2 linked regions of the Drosophila melanogaster genome follow. Changing the gene in region 1 together with any one later gene gives a genetic interaction. Each region holds a gene or a part of one and is shown on either strand. Other genes may lie near its edges. The genes, in order: sbb and al.

What was found.
Region 2: of sbb (region 1) and al, changing one enhances a phenotype caused by changing the other (phenotypic enhancement), as found in Drosophila melanogaster (one study listed by BioGRID).

What each region holds. Positions count from the first base shown.
Region 1 is NT_033778.4:18,354,177-18,359,075, reverse strand, and holds the start of sbb (scribbler), read left to right. Parts: upstream 1-1,779; 5' UTR 1,780-1,938; exon of another isoform or gene 1,939-3,020; 5' UTR 3,021-3,576; intron 3,577-4,899.
Region 2 is NT_033779.5:376,144-381,331, forward strand, and holds the start of al (aristaless), read left to right. Parts: upstream 1-1,968; 5' UTR 1,969-2,338; intron 2,339-5,188. UniProt on the Drosophila melanogaster protein: Involved in the morphogenesis of proximal and distal pattern elements in a subset of appendages. Also has a role in early imaginal disk development.

The sequences.
Region 1 (4,899 bases):
AACAAACTGTCGCTTGGCTGCAAGGTCAATATTTACAAGTCCATATTGGCCCCCTGCCTGTTCTACGGCCTGCAGGTATACGGCATTGCTGCGAAGAGTCACCTTAATAAGATCCGGATCTTACAGGCGAAGACCTTAAGAAGAATTTCGGGGGCTCCTTGGTATATGAGAACAAGAGACATCGAACGCGACCTCAAGGTGCCCAAATTAGGAGACAAGCTCCAGAACATCGCCCAAAAATATATGGAAAGGCTTAATGTACACCCCAACAGCCTAGCAAGGAAGCTAGGAACTGCAGCTGTGGTCAATGCTGACCCTCGGACTAGAGTCAAAAGAAGACTCAAGCGACACCACCCTCATGACCTCCCTAACCTGGTTTTGACCTAGAAAGTCTTAGTTTTAAAATTCATTAGAATAATCAAATAAATAATAATTACTATGTTATATCAACTATTATAATTCTCCCTATCATTTTTAGGATTAAAAATCTGTTAGTCTTAAGTAACCAAGACACATTGTAAAATAAAATAATTTAAGCAGATCAAATTAAGTTGCCGCATGGGTAACAGTGCGTTGATCAAATAATAAAAACATCATCGAAAAAAAAAAAAAAAAAAAAAAAAAAAAGACAAATGTAATACAGTGCTCAAATATACAAATATTTAAACAAATAGGCTTGTACCAGCTTAACCTAAGCGCTCCTGATCTGAAACTTGGGCTGAGTGGAACTTATTTGCCTTTTGCATCGGCGACTGCTAAAGGCAACTTTCAAAATGCTGACGACGAATTGAAAATGCTCATGTTCTGCAATGCACCCTATATATGTAAATGTATACATATGTATGTATGTATATACAGCAAGGATATTTCTTGCCCATCATCATAATAATAATAAGGTGGCACAGGAAGGCGAGAATTACCACTGTCAAAGTTACACAAAGGTCAAATGGAACATTATGGCTTTATTTTGCGCCTAATAAATCTCATTATGTCATTATATGCTACTCCCCCAACCGCCAGCCCACCAACGAAAAAAAAAAAAACAAGGAGGAAATGGTCTTTGGTCGAGGAGATGGTGGAGGTGGTGGTGAGGTGTGTGCGTGTGCCTGCCAGCGTGCGTGTGGTGAGAAGGTGAAAGACAATAAGAAGGAGCAAACGGAAAGGAAGAACAACTACAACAAAAGGCAACTGACTATAGGCGAACGACATGCCAATCAGTAATCAATCCTCAGGACCCCACCAAAAACAATTTGCAGAGGCATAGCAATAACAAGAGCAACAAACGCAATAACACAAACAACAACAGCGGACAAGTGAGAGACCACACGACGGCACTGTAAACAAATTGGAAAGGGATGAACATACATAACTGCGCAATATGGCGTCGGCAGAGCAAGAGAGCGGGAGAGGGCACTAAGAGCGCACGAGCAAGAGCGAAAAAGCCGCCATTAAAGAAATGCCGCTCAGAGACCGTTTGTGTATGTGCATGGGAATGCCAGTGTGTGCGATGTAAGCAGTGGATGTGTGTGTAGAAAATGCCGCAGGGTTGTCAAGTGGCTGAGAATATTAACAAGTAAATAATCTTTTTATTAGTAAATTGTAACTTTATTGCTTTTAAGAGTTTGAAATCGCGATAACTATATCAGAGAAGCATTCGACTAAAAACAAGAATTCTTTCGGAACCATATAATTACCGAAATGTATTTGTTATTTTTCCCCATATAGCCGACAACCCTGCGCGTTGCTAGCCAACTCTCGCCTCTCAATTTATGCGCTTTTGTACGCGTTGCTCCTTCGGTTCGTTCGGACAGCACGGATAAAACGCTGTCGCCAAACAAAAACATAAAAAACACTGAGCGGATCAGGTTCTATCTTTAATTAAGAAAAACAACATCCCAAAAACAACAAGCAAGAAGGACTAAAATCTGTGGAAAAGAAGTAAGCAAAGCTGTTCCCCAGTGTGATTTCCTCATGTGCATTTAATGTAATTCAACTCGACAACAAAATAATAAGTGTTGTTGGCCTCTCGCTCTCTGGTCGTACCGCGTATCTGTGTGTGCGTGATTTAGTGTTTCGTCGCGTTTCAAGCAATTAACCCAAAGCAACGTAGAAATGCCAAAAACGCATTAAAAATTATTACTCGTAGCTGTCTGTCATTCACAACAGAAAAAAAAAATGAAAAGAGAAGAGTAACAACAGCAACGAGAAGAAGGAGGAGAGCGACAATCATACACAAGTGCTATTTGCCGCTACTCATAAAACAAATTACCCACTTGGGCCTGACTTGTGCGTGCGTTTGTATGTGTATCTCTGTGTGTTAAAAGAGCAGCGTAATCATCATCGCCAAAAAAAAAGGAAAAGAAAACTACTAAAAAGTAGTAGTAAAAAAAGAAAGGAAAAGGAGACGAACCAAAATGAGAGTGTGGCACTGGCAATATGTTGCTGCCAATAACAACAACAGCAACAGAAGCTTCATCAGTTGAATAGTACCGGAATAAAATTACTATACAGCCACTGCATGTGCTTGTGTGTGTGTGTGTGTGTATTGCGCTCTCCCTCTCTGTCTCTTTCTTTCTCGCTCGCACTGCCAGCCGCTGTGTATGTGCAAAGCTTTTTTATGTTTCGCACAAACATTGCGGTAAAAGAACGCCGACAAACGACGAACCCGTCGTCGCTTTGTCGCTCTCGCCAATTTCCGCGCGTGTGCAAGGTGAAGTCGCGTCGCGTCAGTCCGTCGGTCGTATAGTCTCTCTTCGTGTCCACTTCTCCCCTCGCTTGCCGTATCTCTGTCGTGCAACAACTCCCCCGTGTATTTTTTTTCTATGCCCCAAGCTCTGTTCACCGCCTCTCTTGCTATGCATGTACACGTGTATGTGTGCGGTGGAGCAGCTTCTGTTCTGCCAAATACATATGTACAGGCGGAGAGAAGGCAAAGGCAACAGAGCTTGGACACGCGCTCCCTCTCTCGTCGTCTCCCTCCCTCGCCTTACTCAAAGTGCCGTTTTTTCGTGTATTTGTAGAGAAATAAAGAAAAAAACAACAACTAACCTCATAAAAAAGTTCATACATTTGTCGCAAAAAAAAGAAAAATAGAAAAGAGAAGCAAATGCAAAAAGTGTCAAAGAAGTGAAAAACAAGCAGAAAAAAGAAGCAGCAGCAATAGAATCCAGCAGAAGCAGTGAAAAGCAGAAAGAAAAGCCAAGTTTGACTCTCTCTCTCTTTCTCGCTCTTACATAAATGGAAAATAATTCCTGAGATTGCGCTGCTAGGAAAATTTTGCGGATTTGCATTTCACCTTCCGTTAGCTCCGGGAGCTGGGAGTTTGGGAGTTTCTTTTGTGGATTATTACGCCCTCTCGCGTGCTCTCTCACTCTCTCCCCAAACCCCCCTCACGATAGTCGCTCACTGTGGGTGCGAGCAAGCCAGGAAGCAAAGGAATCATCACCTGCCCATCGCCACCCACTGCTCATTGCCACCCGACCCCCGAGCCTTCTCTTCATCTTTTGGATGCTGTCTATAAATCGGGAACGCGCATATTCAGAGCAGAAATTGCGACTATTTTGGATTTATAAAAAGGTAAGTTACAGTAATTATTATCGAATTTAGACTATCTAATTAATTTAATTTACAATTGTAATAGAGTTAATAAACAAAGAGCCAACATTTAGCTGCAATAAAATCTCTATTGTTTAAGTTTACACATCTCTAAGATACTCCACACTTTCTCTCTTGCTCGCACAGCACAGATACCTATTGAGTCAGAAGGAGAGCAAAGAAGAGAGGGAACGAGAGGGCATGAGCCTAAATTGATTTCCAGTTTGATTAATTACCGCACAAGTATTCGTGTACACATTTTTTTTTTTTCATCGAGTTAATGCCAATTAAGGCGTTTCAATCTAAGCCGATTTGTAATTAAATGGAGTTTTTTCTTGTTATTTCGAGCGATTAGAAAATTGACAGGCCGGTTGGTGTGCTTGGTTTTTTTATTATTTATTTTTTTTTTTTGTATTTTGTTTGTTACCTTTTTGAGATTTATTGAAGTGGATTTAATTTGGGTTTTTGTTCGGCACCAATGGAATGGAATTTCGTTTTGCAAGCGTAATGTGGGAAGACAAGCGGAATTCGCGGGTCATCAAGAAGAGCGATGAGAAAGGGTGCAGCGGGGGGCATGGGAATCGTTGTCGAAATGGAAATGCGAATCGGAATCACGCTCACCTAATGAAGCCTGCGGCGACGCGTCAAGCGAACCGAATGGCAAACAGCGCGCAGCCGAACGATGAGCGATAAACAAAACAGTGGAGCGGGGGTGGGGGTGCAGGTGGGGTTGGGGCATTGATTGGGTAAGGAAGGGAGGGGGGCGTCACTGGGCGTGTTTTGCATTTACTCGAATTATGAAAATGAATATCGGGTGTATGGTGCTCTTTTTCCAAATGGAAAAGTTACATTTCACTTATTTCCCTTTCTTAAAAATATGATGTTTCTTAAGTGAAAATATTTAGTTTTATAAAAAATATTACTTAAAACCTACTGGTTATAAACTAATACTATGCTAATCTTTCACTGCCCACCTATCCATTTGGTCATAAATTAAAACCCATACAAAATACATTTCCTTAACGAGCATTTCTACTTGATTATACTGCTTATCTGTGCAAATTTAAATTCGCTTCTAATTCCGGAAGCAAAATCTCCGTTGCCTTATCTTAAGTTTATTTAAATTTAAGTTTATATAGTTGTAGATAGGGTTGTTGTTTGCGTTTCTCGTTTCGTTTTGTTTGCTCATTTCTCGATTTAATTAAGTAAACATTGCAGACGCATTTCGGGTAAACATGCCAAAAGTGTTTATTTAAACAACTGTTTAGTCATAAATGCATAGATACACTTGCCGATATGCACACA
Region 2 (5,188 bases), on another chromosome or scaffold:
ATTAAGTGCACATTTGTAGCGTTTTGCGCGACATCTGTCCCATGTGCAGGAGTGGATGCAGACCCACAGCCACAGCGCGGAGTCGAAGTCGGGACCGGAAATTCAATTGTTGAGATAATAATTACATTAGGACGTGCGCGCATGCGCGACTCTTTCACTTTAAGCCTCCGTCTCTTTCGCGCTGTGGAGCGATCTGAGCCTGCTTAGAGTGGACCCGAATTGAGTCCGAACGGGGAAGAATGTCCACACGGATGTATTGAGACAGAGGAATACCTAGTACTAGATCCATTTCACCGCTAAATTACGAAATTTCCCTATTCGAATAAACCATCAAATATCCTCTTATAAGCATATATGCTGCGGACTGAATCTGTACATATAAAGACCTGACAATTCTCTAATTTGGATTCCGATTAAAATAAATTAAATGAAGTTCAATTGTGAGGATACCATCTTATTCAAGGGTAAATACATCAAGCCCTTGCTCTTCCCGAACACTGGGTATAATAAGTGCACACCTTGCGCGACGGGCTGATTGACACGGCCACATGGGGACGAGAGATACCGTGCTCGGTACCAGATATTCCCGATCCCGGTCCGAGTTTGCTGTCCATTGAACTCGTCGGACAAATGGTCACTCCTCGTCCGTCGACGGTCGATGGTCGCTGGTCTTTTGTTTGCATTTCGCCCGTAAATGAAGCGTGAAATTGGCAGCAGTGCAGCGGACTCGATCCAACTCCGACTCCAATCCCTATTCCGATCTGCAATGGAACTCGGAGAGCGTCGCATTGTTTACTTCTTGTTAAGGCCCGACAATGGGATAATATGGCCATATAATGGCAACACCAAACTATTTGTATGCAATTGCCATTAACACTTTATTTATTGCCTTGCGATACAAGCAAATTGGGCAGCGAATGATGGTCGAAGGAGGGGGACGCTTCCAGTGCAAAATGCCGCTGGAATGGATCTGTGGATGTATAAGGCCCGCTTATATAAAGCCTAATGAAGTGGTTATCAAGGAATGGAATCTGTTAGGTCTGCTCGGAAATGGCAAGAGCTGGGCTGAGTTCAGTTTTTCATCATGGACGGAAAACATTTTTCCTTGGATTACATTAAATTACGAAGATGGATGTGATAAAAATGATGTGATGTACAAGCCTATGGCTTGTATTTCACGTTGTATCAATCTAAATCAATATTCACTTATTTAAAAACTATCAACGGCTTTTCCAAACATCCTTCATTCAAATTTAACTTGAGTCATCTACATAGCTGGCTCATTGACCTTTTTCTCAAGTTATTGCCCTTCCCCGCATGACACCCCCACTCCGATGGGTAAGCAAAACAGTCTACAGTCCGACAATCATCCAATAAAGCCAACAAAGTCATTAACGAGGCCCTTAACACTACCAAAACGGTCTATATGGCCGGTTCCAAGTCCCCACCCCAATACACGCAACTCTTTTTCCCATATGTCTTGGCTAAATTATTTAATTTATGAGCCGCAACAACTGGCAAATGCATCTATGGCAACCAGAGGAAAACGCGTTGAGCTGGGGGGCAAATAAATTTCCATTTTGCTAATCAAATTTATTGCACTTTGTGCGGGGCTTATTCAATTACGCCCAATCGAAGAGGCGCGAGAGAGAGGGCCATGCGGAGCGACAGAGAGCGGTAGAGAGCAGCTCCGCCATTATTTCGCTCCGTCGAATGCTGCTTTCCCATAGGCCGAACCGCCAGAAAGAGGCGGAGTCCGCCTCCCGGCCACCTGCCGCCTCACCTGCGACACCTGCGACGATCGATCGACATGCTCCGATCGCATCGCTCCCTCTCGCTCTGCGGCACTACGAAACACTAAAAACACTGGGAGGCCAGAAAACCACTCTCGCAACATTGGAAAACAACAACTCCAACCGGTTGTTGTTTCAGACCCACCAGAGTTTTCACCTGCGCGCCAACTGCTCACCGTGTAGTTTGCTGCCGGCTCTGGAACAGCCCGGTCATCTCGTCGCGTTCGGTTCCGATTCCGATTCGAATAGTCGAGCTGGGGATACATTGTTGTTTCCGGGTTAAAGTGCGTACGATTGCGGAAGTGTCGGTATCCTGCGCGTAGTACAAAGTTATACCCATCAAAGGTGTATCGCGATCAAAGTGAACGCTTGGTACTCGGTATCTGGTTGTTGGAAGAAGTGGACAAAAGACCGTCGGCAAAAGTTACTGTTGGTGAGAGCTACAGGGCTTATTAGCCCGGTTAAATAGGAAGAGAGAGATTCAGAAGGCCAAACATTATCAAGACCATCCGTACAATATCTGGCGATTAAGGAGGAGAAGGAAGGTTAGTCTCAGACATTTTATCAAAAATATATGAAACATTCTTTGGACAGAATAGGATTTGTTATATCGAGAGCGTGCATTAAACAGGGAATCCTAGTTACTGTAACTCATAATTTTTTATCACAACCGTAGTCATTGCCTTATATCATATCAAAGATAGGGATTTTCTTAATCAAGCAATTTATATAAATTTTGTTTTAGCCCTAAACTAATCTTGACCCTTTTCCGCCACTTCCGATCCCCAAATCACATAAACTTATTATCACACCTTGCGAATAACCTACTTCTCAGCATGATAGACAAATACTACAAGTATAAGCCATAAATGAATTTCATAATTCACCTGTCTAATCATCCCAATCAATGTGAAGAGGGAAAAATAAAACGTATGACGAGACATAAATATCATTAAATTTGATTAATTTCCCACCTGGACATATCAAATCAGACAAATATCAAGCCAAATCGTATCATCGCTGTAGAATAGAATTTTATTAACTCAATTTTGAGGGTCGAAAGATTTCGCCTTTGCCTTAGCTGATAGTTCGATAAGTTTATCGCTGATTGGTTTTAATTAAACACCATTAAAGAGTACAAATTGTCAGCAGTGCAGTCAGCGCCAATAAATCACGTTTTGTCTAGCTGATGTTTTTCCCTTCTAGAGGTGGTTTTGGTCGAAAGTTGGGGGCATAGTCTTATGCTTGTCCCGTGTACCTACAGAATAAATGAAATTAACCAGCCACACCTATCACCCGCCGATAATCTTGTCAAAAGCCACTGACCACTTAGCTTCGTGACGCGGACGAGGGCCCCGAATATATAGTGAAAATAACACAAATATAGACAGATATGTGGGTCCTGATAAGGCAAAGGAAAACCGGGACCCTCTTTCCTGGTGATAATCGGGCACTTGGCCAACTGATTTAATTAATACTTATAACTCATGTGACTTGTCAGCACAAGTTTAAACGAATTTGTGACGCAAGTTGGTCGCAGTGTATTTGTATCTATGAGGTAGCATCATTCCCAATAGATAATACCGAAAAGATTCGATAAGATTGTCCCGTACAGCGTAAAATTAAAATATGTTCTCCACCGAAATGTAGTTCAATTCAATTACGGCAACATACAATTAAAACTTGTTGCCAGATACCTTAGATACTGTATCTTGTAGATATACACCCGAATTTTTGGCAGCTATCTGAACACGAACTCTGATTTGATTTGATTCGCTGTTGTTCGATTGCTCGACAGCTCCCAATTTGGGGCGCTGTCTTTTGAAGGGATGTCGGTTGATTGTTGATCGTTGATGGCAACACACCCCCCGAGAGAAATCTTCTCCAGCGGGAAGATGGCGCCAGGGCCCTTTGAGATGTGCTTCATTAATTCTTGTCCCCTGCCCCTCGCTAAATGGAACATGCAAACATGAGAAATTAACGTCGTCGTCCACAAATTGCCCACCGTCTGCCTCGGATTCGCTTATCAAACCACACAAGACAATGACAAAGGGCAGGGCGGAACAGTCGAAGATGGAGATGGCGTCGGGCAACAGTTGTCCAATCCCCAGATCCCCGATCCCCGAACACCGATCACCGATCCCCGATCCCCTCCGGTCCCAATTTATAGCTCCTCACTGCGACTGCTGTTCTTAACATGCTTTTTATGAGTAATTGGCCCCGCATCAACATCACCAACACGGGCTAAGCTTGTAGCTACAGCATCGCCATTCACCATCAACAACTTCTTGGTCTTCTGTGTGGGTCTTGAGTTGCTGATCCTGGCTCTGAGTCACAATTTGAACTTGCGTCTACCTTTGGACTACCGTCCCGGCACTCTGATCCATTAGGGTGGACACGGGGTAATTTTTGCTACCTGGGAGCGAATCTCGAATGCCCTTGGAGAGCTCGAAATCCATGTGTCAATACATTTTTACCCAAAAGTTCAAGTACATACAATTTTTATTGTATTTAGCTAATAGATAGTCTCAAATGGGAACGTGTTCTGCCTGTAGACCTAAAACTTTAATGTATACCTTAAATTGTAGACATATTAGGGATTATATAGGATAAGTAGATCAACAACTTAGTTGACCAACTTCATTCACCAGGCGTAGGGGAAGGGTACTAGACCCTTCGTTGCAACTTCGTCTGATAGGCAGTAAATTGAATTAAGATTGTGGAAAAGAACAACAAATGAGGCAGCAACTTCGACACAGGATATGAATAAACTAATTATAATTGGGAGTGTGTGCATTAGAGGTCCATAACGTACACCCCAGAACAAGAGGTACAGAAACAGACGATGATGACGGCGCCTGGCCAACAACAAGAATGCTGCCTTATCGCACCTGGTCCAAAAGACGGCGCCAAGAAACAAACAACCCAACAACTGGAAGGTGAATGGAGGGCTCAGGTGCAGCTTAAATGAGATAAACACTACGGAATTGACTCGACTCGGCCCAGCTCAGCTGCTTGTGATATTAGTTAAAAACATTTCTGGGTGACTTACAAGAGCTGGTCGAAAATAATAATTGGTCTTATCGAACCAAAAGTAAACGACCAAGCTTGGAACGTCGCTGGCCAATCCGTCAACTTCTCCAGGGGACCACCAAGGGACTGGTATCGGGGGCGATCATTGAGCTTTCGCTCGGGGCCAAAAGTTAAGCCACCCAAAATGCTTGCCATTATCGAAGAACCGGAGGCGAAATTACAATGCCGATCATCAAAGTGTGACTAAAGTGGTTTAGCCTAATGTAAACCCATAAATAAGCAGCCCAGATACCGGCCAGACTGGGGACTGGCTGGAAACTGGAGTCTGATCAATAAAGTCTGGAGAGTGGAGGATCGAGACG